3 linked regions of the Daphnia pulex genome follow. The protein of the gene in region 3 interacts with the protein of the main gene of each other region in a pairwise test. Links are inferred from orthologs where the notes say so. Each region holds a gene or a part of one and is shown on either strand. Other genes may lie near its edges. The genes, in order: F-box only protein 11-like, F-box/WD repeat-containing protein 7-like and S-phase kinase-associated protein 1-like.

Region 1 (4,394 bases), on a different chromosome or scaffold from region 3:
TTTTATCCAGACTCCAGCCATTGCATTATCAAAGATTTCGTTCTGTTCCAACAGGCCGAGTCCTCCATTGTAGACGAGAACTCCGCCGTTTTGTCCACCCCAAATCTTGTTCCGGCGAATGATGGGATTGCTCCCCGTTCGAATCTGCACACCACTGTATAGATGGTTGAAGATGTCGTTGTCTTCGAGACGGCCATGTCCATTATCGTAAAAATAGACACCCACTTGCTTGCCAGAATGAATTCGGTTTCGCCTTAAAACAGGAGTCGATCCTGATGAGGTGTAAAAAATGGGTTAATTCAATTCAGAGGAGAAGTACAATTATCAGTTATTTACCTGTGGTTATCCAGACTCCAGCCAGGGTATTGGCGTAAACTTCATTTTCTTCTATGAGTCCCTGGCCCTTTTCGTGGACGTAGATGCCACCGTGTTGGCCGTGATGGATTTTATTGTGCCGCACGATTGGATCACTGTTGGTGCGGATCTGTATGCCTGCCAAAGCGTTGCCGTAAATATTGTTGTGCTCAATCAGACCGCGGCCTTCTCCAAATATGTAAACGCCGCCTTGGTGGCCGTTGTAGATTTCATTCCGACGGATGGTCGGATTTGAATTTGAGGTGATCCAAACGCCCGCAAAGTTGTTGGAATGAATCCGGTTTTCAATGAATTGGCCCTGACCGGATTCGTGAACGTAAATGCCCCCCGTTTGGCCGTGATGGATTTCACACCGCACCACAGTCGGGTTTGCTCCTGCTATTAAATTCAAATGAAGCAACAATCAGATTTGTTAGCGAAACAAGGGACGCATTAAAAATGGAAACAAGTCACAAACCTTTCACTTCAAAGCCAGCGATTCTGTTGTTGTGGATATTGTTACTCTCAAAATAGCCTAATCCGTTGTCGAAGGTGAAGATGCCGACGTCTCGGCCGTGATGGATATGATTCCTTCTCATAACCGGATTGGCGTGATTTTTCACCCAGATGCCCGCCAGAGCGTTGCGGCTGATTTCGTTGTCCTCATAAAGACCCTGAGCGTGGTCGGTGATGTAAAGGCCAACGTTCTCGCAGTCGGATATGTCGCAACGGCGGATAATGGGTTCCGCACCAGACCCGGTTACACATACAGCGGCGCCCACTGCAACATTCGGAGAAAAAAAGATTGAGTCACAAAGCAATGACCAATACAAATGACGACAAAAACATACCGACGGAGCTGCTGCGGATGATGCAATGGTCGATAACGGGTGAGCAATTCTCTCCAATTTCAAGGCAGTAATGTTTGTGATGCGGAACAGACGATGAGATATCTGGACTGAACTTGAGCGTGACGTAGCCCAGGTAGGAAGATCTCGCACCTTCCATAAACGTCACCGTCGATTCCGTGTCTCGTTCGATGGTAACGTTTTCGGCCACGTTACCCGAAGAACAACCTAAAATGTTGACGTTGTTCTCCACTACCAGGTACTCGCGCTGGTAGGATCCCTTGTGCACGAACACGAGCGGACTCTCGGCGTCGTCGAAAAATTCCAGCGCCGACTGGATCGTATCGAAATAGGCAATCGAACGACCTACAAGAATGGAAAAAGAGATGGAAAAATGATAAAACGTTTAAGCGACGCCAAAGACTTTCACGACAAACCTTTGTAGCGTGACGGGTATTTAAGGGCCTTTTCTTGAAATCCCGGCCTGACGTGGACGCCGTGATTGAGTTGTTTGAAGCTCTCTTTCCAAGGATTGTCGTATTCGGATTCTTCTATCGCTATAAATTCGTATTTGCAGATTCCCGTGTGAAACAATGGCGTGTCGTACTCAAAAACGCGCTGATACAACGTTTTCCTGTCGAGACAAAATGTTGATGAATCTCTGAATGATAATCTCGGAAATGTTTACACCAACATACCAAAGCTCTGTGTCGTTAGCTATACTCTGGAAACGTTTACAGACTTGACTGACCCGACATAAATCTCTCTCAAACAGATAACTGAATATGCATATGAGAACTTCATCAGGTAATTCATACTGGAGGTAATGAGCTGCACTTCTTTGCTCATCAACTGAGTTGCCATCTGCAAATTGAATATTAAAACAAATTAGGAGACAGCCAGGATAAAACGAAAAATATTTGTCGTACTCTCAGATGATGTGTAGCAGGTTCTTCTCGGCCTCTTTCTTGCAGGTAGCATACACGTTGCATAGCCACTGGGACCAGCTGCACAAGCTGAATTTGACGAAAGGCTGCCACTCGGATTGCAGCCTGACGGGTAGTTGGGTGCTACAGCTGCAGCGGCAGGATCATGATGTGGTGACTTGCGCCTCAGATCATAAGGTGGTTGGTGTCCAGCAGCTGAGGCCCCACCGGTGACTAAACCAACAGCCGAAGGGACAACAGGTTGAGGAGCAACAGATCCTGAGACTGGATTTTCATTGTTGGCTGACGATGCATTGTTTTGGAGATTTCCTTCACCTGCCCCTTCTTCCCCATCTAAGGAAAGTTTGTTATTGTGAAACACATTTTGAATGAGAAGTGGGACTGATGTGGGAGAAAGAATGGCGAGATGGACTTACCAGAGTTGACGCGGGAGTTATTGCTGGCAGCAGCACCTCTCTTGGTGCCCTTCCGTTTCGACCTTCTCAGGGAGTAGAGGGGTGAACGCAGCGAGGGACTGGGCATTTTGCTAACGATTTTCCCACTTTTCTTGGCGACAGCACAGTAAAACAGTGAAGAATGTCCAGATATGATGATAAACTTGCGAGAAACAATCACTACGGGAGGTTCATAATGCTTTTTTCATGGGAATATCTCACTTTTTTAGTGTCAACACAACTTGTGACTGAGCGCATACACCATCGGCCATCTTGTACAATGTGTTCTGCTAGAGACATCTATGATCGAAAAAAGGAAATGGACGACAAATCTTTTCTTTCGTGGTAAATGCTTCAGGCAATGGCTTCTTTTTCTTTCTTTCGGCTTTTTCTGTATGTGTGTGTGTTAGTCACATTTTGTTTGGGCTAGTAACGCATTTCCCCCGTTTTCCCTTTCCTTACAACAGAAAATAAAAAGGATAGAGCCCTCGTATTGTGGGGGCCTTCCGGCGGCATCGGCTGAAATGCTTCTTTGTCCAAACAGCTGTTTTTTTTGGTTGTTATTTGATGGATGTTTATTATCCTCCCACGCGCCGTGAATCAAGTCACGAAACAATAACAGTCCCGAAAACCACCTAGAAAGAATAAAACGACACTTTTTTTTTGTTAATCAAGTTCTTGTATTTTTTCTTCGATTAGAACCCACCAGCCAGCAATCGTTCGTTTTGTCAAAATAGAAGGCCCATAACCAGCCATTATTTCTTGATGGAAGGGGGGATGATAATAATAATAAAAAGACGACGAAAAAGATTTAATCCAACAAACATAGAGCTTTCAAGCGTTATTATTATTACAACCCCACAGAGAGAAAGGAAAAAAGAGACACACGAAAAAATAATAAAAAATAAAAAAAAAAACAATCGAATAAATTTTTTGAGGGAAATTTTTTCTCCAAATTGCTAAATTTTTGTTTCTTTTTTCTTTTTCCTCCTCCAATATTTTTTTAAATCCTACGTTCCTTTTTTTTAAATTTTTTATAATAATAAAGTTTAATAACAATCGAACACTATCGAGGGACGAACACGAGCGCGCGTGTCAAATGTGTGTGGGCCGGCCGATCCGCTGCGCTGCAACGAACGGACTTTTTTTTTTCTCTTGTTTTGAGACGAAACAGAAAATGTTCAAAATGCGGCACGTACTACGTCAGCTTTAGAAAGAGAGAGAGAACACATTTTGGAAAGAGAAACAGAGGGGAAAAAGAGAAAAGAACACACACAGAACACACGCAATAATACAAAAAAAGAATCGGTTGGGGTTTTCTTCTTTCTTATTTTTTCTAAATGGTGGTTGGTTGGGGAAGATGGGGAAAGTGCCCTAGAAAAAAAGATGAAGAAACCAAATAAATTGAGCTCTATCGGATGTGTATAACATATATCGTCGACCTCCTGGCGCGCCCAGCTCTTATCTATTTGCCATTGATCCTACTCGACACACAATTGTTCTGTACAAACTAAAATATTAGAATTTCTTTTGTTTAACGTCATTTTCAAATATAGCCTCAACGTGTTGGGGAAAAAAAAACAAATTTGACAAAAAGGGGAGAAAACATATTCCGTCACCAACATCATCACGATAGCAAAAACGTAAATTTCTGACTGAAAAATAAACCGGAGCTAAAAAAAAAAAAGAGAAACCAGAGAAATTAAGGAATCGGAAAGAGAAAGGATTGTGTGTCTGTGGTTGGTTGGTGTGTAATACATACATATATATATTATATGTGGTTTGTGTGTGTGTGTGTGTCTGTACTGTAC
Region 2 (4,396 bases), about 500 kb from region 3:
TTTATGTCGATTGCCGAACATGGTCTATTTAACCTGAGATGATTGACAGCCATGTCAGCATGTATTAAGATAAAGATTATTTCTCTATCAAACCTGACACGGTCATACGGTTCCATTTGATCCAAGTGACGCATATCCTTAATCCCAATAATCTTTTAAAAAAACTATCTTTATGGATTCATTGACGTACGTCCGATGTGTAGATTTTTATATCGTTCACGTGTTGAGTCCATGTGCCTGTTTAACATTTCAAATAACATTTTCAATATAAAATAGTTTCAACATAAAACAGACCCAGTAAACCGTAGCGCATGTTGGTCTCGTTCGTCATTCACAATCGAACACTATCAAATGACGCAACGTATGTTCGTTAGCTGCAACGACGACTCCATTGTTTAAATAGGCGCGCCTAACCTCACACCTCTTCAATCCGGTGCTTCTGCACTTAAATGAACCGGTCAAAGACCAATTGCTGGTTTATTAAAAAATATATAGATTTCTCAATGCCCACACAAAATGTGCATCAAAGTTTCTTGGCAATTCAATGAGCGACCTATTTTCATGACTGGGGAAGCGACGATAATGCCCGATGAAAGAGCGAATTCAACATTCAACACAAGATCACCGAATGTTTTGTGCTGCGCTTACTAATGATCTTTTTGAAAAGTTAATGCTAATACGGTAGCAGCTATCACTCCGAATCCGAGAAATTTTGAATGTCATGGGGCAATAAACGGAATTGAATATTGTAACAATCAGAGAAAAACGAAAATTTGTTACAATTATATTATTAATGAGGACGAACCTTCAACTTTTAAAAAACCTGCGAGATATCGCGTAAGTAGCAGTTTGAATTTCTTATATCGAACGTTTATAATTCATCGCGAGTCATCTAGCGATAGCTAGAAAAAGCAAGATTCGGGCGCCCTTTAACACTGCGTAGCTGCTATAATGTGTACAAAAATATAGATACACAATTTAGTTGGATGAATACTTAACTGGCTATTGGTTGAATCGGGTTCAACTTTCGTCCAACCGTATGAGAGAACTAGAACTCAACATTACGCAGTAACGTTTTCAACAGAGTTGAAATGCTTGAGAAACAATTTGCACCAAAACTTCCATTGTTATTGAAATTGTGGCTTTAATTCAGTTGGATCTGTAAAGGGCTGATGGTATGAAGAGATTCAAGGGGGACATTTCAGGAGGGGGAACGATGAATAGCGATGATGATCCGTTGAAGTTTCAAGAACTGAACAGTTAGAAACTTAAAAAAAAATATGATATAATACTCTTTGATAGTAATGCAATACAAAAATATTATTAAGGGTGGGGGATGTATGTACAAAGAAAGGCGGGAAAGATGAAATGAGGTAGGCCCACGTATTGGCCTTTAAAAAACCGCCTAGCTTTGTTGTTTAAAAAAGGATAATAATTACCACTATAAATTCGATAGTAACACTGTAAACGTGTCAAGTGGGTTTTGCTACGAGATTCTAAGCGAAATAAAGAAAAAAGCGCATGTGATGACGACCACAGGGCGCGTCCAGCAACTGGGAAATGTTAACAAGCAATTTGGCAACGCTTTTTAGTCCAGCATATATCGTTGTCTGTCTCGGCTTCACCATTCGTGTGAAACAAAATTCTCTTTGATGCTGATCCTCGTGTACAAATTTTTTTCTATATTTACGCTCTTTGTGAAATCGAAATGCCCGAATCATTTTAGTGCTAGATTTTTTCTATTTTAAATCCTTTATTTGATTAAGTTGTTTTTGCCCACCCGTGCTTGCGGAATATTTTCAAAATCGCATTTTAAAGGTCTGCCCTTGTTCCCAAAACACTACACACTATCAAGCCCTCGCCCATATCATTAAAAAGATTCTACTTTTATTTTGATTGCACTTTTTGACTCGTAACGCCATTATAATTTTCGCTGCACTTTTCACTGGATTTTTATCGACGGTAAGTGTGAATCATTCTTGCTTTGTTTCATTATTGTTATAAAAAGAAACCTTTATTAACAACATTGAATCTTCTTTCTTGGCAGATGAGATGACTAGTGTTTAATTGAGGATATGAGTTGTTGTCTAGGCAGCTGTGTTTTGGTTTCCTAGTAATAGCTCAGCTTCTCAATCTCTAGCTTACGTAGCAGTCAGAAACCCAGCAGAAATAATTTATGCCAGCGTCCAGAGGACGGAGTAGTGGGAGGGGCATGGGCGACACTGCTAATGAAAGTCTAGCTCAGAGAAACCTGGTAGACATCAATGTGGCTACTGTTGAAGAGCTTTCCACCTTGGTTGGAGTTGGACGCAGCAGAGCTGAAGCCATTGTGGAAACCAGAAATGTAAGTTTAGGATTAACCCAACACCAGTGTGTTTTATATGGTTTTGACATGTGTTTTTCCTTTGTAGTCCCTTGGAGGATTTACATCCATCGAAGATCTAAGTCTGGCTCCAGGTGTGGGGACAAATTTGATTGAAGCCAATCGTCAGATACTAACAATATCAGTACCAGCTCAGTCGTCTCAGGTGAATGCAAGAAAAGCCAACACTCGGAGCAGGTAAATAGTGTTATACAATACTAAATTTATACCCCCTTCTCATGGTTTTGCTATTAGTGTAGGTATATTTCTTTATTGTTACTCTTATCTAAGCCTTTGTTCTTTGGATTAGGCAAAAATGCGTCATTTGATTCTAAACATGTTTTGTTGTTGCCCTAGAAGCAGTGATAATACAAGCGCTCAACCGACTCCGAGCACCACACCAGTGATATCTAGTTCAAGTGATAACGCGACAGAAGACCAGCAAAACGACAGTGGAAGTAGCAGCAGCAACGAATGGGGTGCTTGCCGTTTGAGGCAGCGCCGGTCAACAAGCAGAATAAATCCACTGCCCGTTGGCAAATCGCCTTCGCTTCGACAGACTCGGAGCAACGATAGCATCATTCAATCGCCTCCTCCTCTCCCCACAACACCTACATCATCGACACCTACTGCTCCTGCCAACGACGCCAGCAATGTATCCGTTAAAGAGGAATCACCCACCTCGGAGAATGATGACGTCGCCAGACCAGGAGCTGTAAGTTTATCCAACACTTATTTGTTATTAAGAACATGAATTTAATTAAGGTGGTGTGTTGTAGACCAAGCGCAAGTCGGAGTCGACAGCTGAGATGGCAGCTGAAGTAGCCACGGAGAAAAAAACATGTCGAAGGGGTGAAGGTGTTGATTCATCTTCCTCGTCAATCTACTGCCATGTTCACCGTAATCCGATTCCCTCGAAAGACAATCCTCCGCCAGGATTTTGCCAGTGGCTTCACACGTTCCAAGTATTTTTCGTCATTCTCTCAACCACTAACTCATTGCTAAGAAAAACCATTTGTTATCATTGCAGTACTGGTCGAACGCTGAGCGTTTATGTGCCATTGACCAACTGATAGAGCTGTGTGAACCCACTCAGGTCCGTCACATGATGGCTGTTATTGAACCACAGTTCCAACGCGATTTCATATCGCTGCTGCCCAAAGAACTGGCTCTGTATGTTCTCAGTTTCCTCACGCCTCGCGACTTGACTCGCGCCGCACAAACCTGCCGTTGTTGGAGAGTCTTGGCTGAAGATAATCTCCTCTGGCGAGAAAAATGTCGTGAAGCGGGTATCGATGACGTTCGTGATACTCTAAATAAGCGACGTCTTCGCGGATCTTCCCACCACTCATCTCTCAGTTGTGGTCTTTCTTCCCCCACCGGATCTAGCCAAAACAATGCACCAATTATTACTCCGTCACCCTGGAAGGTGAATAGATCAATCTGGCTTAAACGTTAATAGGTTGCAAGATAATATTGATTCGTTGCATTTTCAGGCGACTTATATGCGTCACCGAAATATTGAGTTGAATTGGCGAGTGAGGCCGATCCCACAGCCAAGGGTATTGAAAGGTCATGACGATCACGTCATCACCTGCTTACAGTTTTGCGGAAACCGCATCGTTTCGGGATCGGATGACAACACGCTCAAAGTCTGGTCGGCTACTACGGGAAAGGTAATTCATTGGGCTTTCTGCCTAGACAGGACAAAGACTTTAAAAACGCGAAATGTCTTAAGAACAGACAACCATTTAATTGTCATTTCACTCAACAGTGCATGAGGACTCTGCAGGGACATACGGGAGGCGTTTGGTCCTCTCAAATGCAGGGAAATATTATAGTCAGCGGGAGTACAGACAGAACCTTAAAAGTCTGGAACGCTGAGTCTGGACAGTGTTTGCACACATTATACGGCCACACCTCCACTGTCCGTTGCATGCATTTACACGGAAATAAGTCAGTCTTTTTATCAGATATTTGTAGCAAGCACTCTTACTAATTCAACTGTTTTCCTTGATCAAAAATGAATGTAGG
Region 3 (3,057 bases):
TCGATTCAAAGGAACTTATTGAGAATGCTTCCGCATTCCGGAGTGGTGATTCAATCAATGTCTCATCATCTCATGACCCTTACATAATAATACTACTGATCATTTTAAGTTAAAATCTATAGTTAATTTTTAAATAGACTTTCGGCAACCATCAGCACGCACCAGTGAACATTTTCTTCCGACTTCCCGTGAACAATTATTTCTACGAAGAAAATGCAATCTATGCACATTATAAGAAACACTACATATTATGCATACAAAACGTATGCAGGGAAAATTATAAAATTAATGGTCAAGCCGTCAAGGTATCATGCCTATCATCTACCTATGAAAACCAATGATGGTGTCTAACTTGCAAAGCATTTCTAGTAGCTAAGCCCGGATATAATCCGCGAGTCCCTTTATCTTTTTCTTGATATGCTCATTTTCAGGAGACCATCTAACGAAACAAAATCTAAAAATAATGCAGTGTTCAACACACTGACACACACACACACACACACACACAAAAAAACCAAAACTTGTACATTATAATTGGCAAAACGGGAGGTTGTCTAAAGCACGAGCTGTTTTAAAACATACAGTTAATTCACCAGTGCACTACGGAACTTCGTACAACTTGTTCTTTTGTTTGACTATACACTTAAAACTGCTTTTTAATTTATTGTATTCTTGGCTTGAAAACATGAAGTTGGATACAAAGGTACATGTAACATGTGAAAACAAAATTTCGTCGAGATAATTTACTTTTCTTCGCACCACTCGTTCTCCTTGCGTACTTGCTCTTCCTCACTAGGGGTGAAATCGTTCTTGATGTTGAAGGTCTTGCGAATCTCTTCTGGGGTTTTCCCCTTGATCATGTTTGCAACAGTCTTGCAAGTAACATCCAGCAAGCCTTTAATATCCAGATAATTGGCAGCCTAAAAACAAAAATATGTACATTACATTTCACTAACATTTTTAACTTAAAACAATTGTAGAATGTTTTCATAGGTGTGATATCAGAAAATGAACACTTACCAAGATGAGTTCAAACAGAGTTCCTTGATCTACTTTGAGGAAATCAGCATCCCATGATGAGATATCATCAGTACGTTTTTCCTTATTGTCATCATCCTCTGGTGGTGGGGGGTCATCTTTGTGGTAAGTTGCCCACTGAATTACTTTACGTAGAATAGCAGAATTGACATTGGGTAAAGGAACAACTTCTTCGTCATCTTCATCCATTCCTAAAACCAAAATTGAATTTCAATTGAACGTTACCTTTTTTAAGCATTTGAAAAGAAAATAATGACGCATTTGCCTATAAATATCTTTGTGGTGCAACTTTTGATTTTATTTGTTACATTAACATTAAGCTTATTGAAAAATATTACCTAGATCCTCAAGCATTGTTTTGATTGTTACTGAACACTTGGCAATTTCGACATCAACCTCAAATGTTTCTCCATCGGAACTCTGCAGCTTGATGTTTGGCATTGTGTGAATTGTGTTTGTTCTCTGAAAACTGAAATACACAAAAAAACTTTTTGATAACCAAAAGTCCAGCAGCAAAGAACAATGAATGGATCAAGCCCTCAGGAGAACCAGCACACACATTCCAAACAAAAATAACAGTCAAGAAAATCACATCATTATGGGAATTATCTCAAACATTATGGGTACATTTTCGAGTTTCTAACTCTCTAGTCCGTATTGTAATAATGTTGAGAAAATTAAGCTTGGAGTTCAACAAAAAATTAAGCAAATTACGTACTTTTCTATAAAGGTTGCTCTAGAGCAAATGGCGCTGGTGCTGGTCTGAAAAATGTTCAGTAAAAATGAACCCTCCTCTCCTCCCTGTTTCGCTCTGTGATGGAAAACATCACTGCAACTTTCGCATCGCATAGTATACACTCGGAGGGGAAGGGGCGAAAGTATACCAACAGTCATGTTAAAGCGGTTTTTATGAAAAACGTGTTCTTTTCCAGTTTTCGAGATTTTTGAGTTTTGACTTCTGTGTATTCTACATTTCTTTTTGTTGGCAAATGGCAATATATAAAACCAATTAACTGATTTTTTTCTCTCTCCGGTTTTGCACAATTCGAGATGGCCAAATCCCCAAAATATTTTTTCCAAGCCATGGCGCCATGCGCAGTTTCCCGTAGGGATTCTAGTCACAGTCGAAGGAGGCTCAGTTTCGACACGCCACCGCTGCAATTCAAACTGCAAAATTCAATTGCAGTAATTAGACACTTAAATTTACGTAATTGTGACACCAATCACGCAAATTTTTGTAGGCATTAGATTTAAAAAAGAAATCTCTTTAAAATGGATCACATTTTACGAAGATATAATATATTCATTTTTTAAAACAGCGATTCTAAGTCAAACGGGGCTCAGTTTCGAAACGCCACCGCTGCAATTCAAACTGCAAATTCAAAACGACACTAAACATTAATACAAAATTTACGTAAATGTGTTACTTATCATGAAAATTTTTGTATGAAAGAGATTAAACAAAGAAAGGTCTTCAAAATGGATCACATGAAGATATACTAATAGCTGTATTTTTTACACAGCGATTCAAAGTCGAACGGGCTCACTTTCCCGGCTTGATGTGTGTCAACCCAAAGCTATAGTTTGCAGGCCTAACAAGAAGCGAATTTGGTGGCAGTTTTTACGACTGCCCGGCGGCCTTGTATACATGTAGATCCCCACCAAACGTGAACAGAAAAGCGTCGGGTTTGTTTGTTTACGTTTAAAAGCAAAGTAAGTTTTACCAGTTTTACTACTGGTTTAGACAAACAAATTGGTTTTTTACACATTTTTTGGTATGCCTCAAGTCCATAGATAGTATGTAGAATTTCAATTTGTGAGTGCAATCTACCACAATTGACAAACATTTCTTACTGAAATATTTTCCTTTCCCTTTTTAGATGCCTGGAGAAGATCAAATGGAAGATGAAGCTGAGACTATGACATTCCAGGCCAAGATTGCTCAGCTTATGAGCTTGATTATCAACACCTTCTATAGTTGATCTCCAACTGCTCAGATGCCCTAGACAAGATCCATTA

What was found.
Region 1: the proteins of S-phase kinase-associated protein 1-like (region 3) and F-box only protein 11-like interact in binary tests that used the Caenorhabditis elegans proteins (3 or more experiments, as listed by UniProt). The link is inferred for Daphnia pulex from reciprocal best matches to the Caenorhabditis elegans genes skr-1 and dre-1.
Region 2: the proteins of S-phase kinase-associated protein 1-like (region 3) and F-box/WD repeat-containing protein 7-like interact in binary tests that used the Caenorhabditis elegans proteins (3 or more experiments, as listed by UniProt). The link is inferred for Daphnia pulex from reciprocal best matches to the Caenorhabditis elegans genes skr-1 and sel-10.

Annotation. Positions count from the first base shown.
Region 1 is NC_060018.1:284,116-288,509, forward strand, and holds the start of F-box only protein 11-like, read right to left. Parts: upstream 2,876-4,394; 5' UTR 2,672-2,875; coding exon 2,566-2,671; intron 2,483-2,565; coding exon 2,132-2,482; intron 2,067-2,131; coding exon 1,901-2,066; intron 1,837-1,900; coding exon 1,640-1,836; intron 1,569-1,639; coding exon 1,206-1,568; intron 1,136-1,205; coding exon 833-1,135; intron 754-832; coding exon 337-753; intron 273-336; coding exon 1-272. UniProt on the Caenorhabditis elegans protein: Substrate recognition component of a SCF (SKP1-CUL1-F-box protein) E3 ubiquitin-protein ligase complex which mediates the ubiquitination and subsequent proteasomal degradation of target proteins including blmp-1.
Region 2 is NC_060019.1:12,535,712-12,540,107, forward strand, and holds the start of F-box/WD repeat-containing protein 7-like, read left to right. Parts: upstream 1-1,584; 5' UTR 1,585-1,962; intron 1,963-2,047; 5' UTR 2,048-2,176; coding exon 2,177-2,344; intron 2,345-2,411; coding exon 2,412-2,560; intron 2,561-2,719; coding exon 2,720-3,077; intron 3,078-3,141; coding exon 3,142-3,327; intron 3,328-3,392; coding exon 3,393-3,791; intron 3,792-3,858; coding exon 3,859-4,038; intron 4,039-4,136; coding exon 4,137-4,318; intron 4,319-4,395; coding exon 4,396-4,396. UniProt on the Caenorhabditis elegans protein: Probable substrate recognition component of SCF (SKP1-CUL-F-box protein) E3 ubiquitin-protein ligase complex, which mediates the ubiquitination and subsequent proteasomal degradation of target proteins.
Region 3 is NC_060019.1:12,034,355-12,037,411, forward strand, and holds S-phase kinase-associated protein 1-like, read right to left. Parts: upstream 1,915-3,057; 5' UTR 1,888-1,914; coding exon 1,757-1,887; intron 1,508-1,756; coding exon 1,377-1,507; intron 1,230-1,376; coding exon 1,021-1,229; intron 921-1,020; coding exon 744-920; 3' UTR 651-743; downstream 1-650. UniProt on the Caenorhabditis elegans protein: Probable essential component of SCF (SKP1-CUL1-F-box protein) E3 ubiquitin-protein ligase complexes, which mediate the ubiquitination and subsequent proteasomal degradation of target proteins.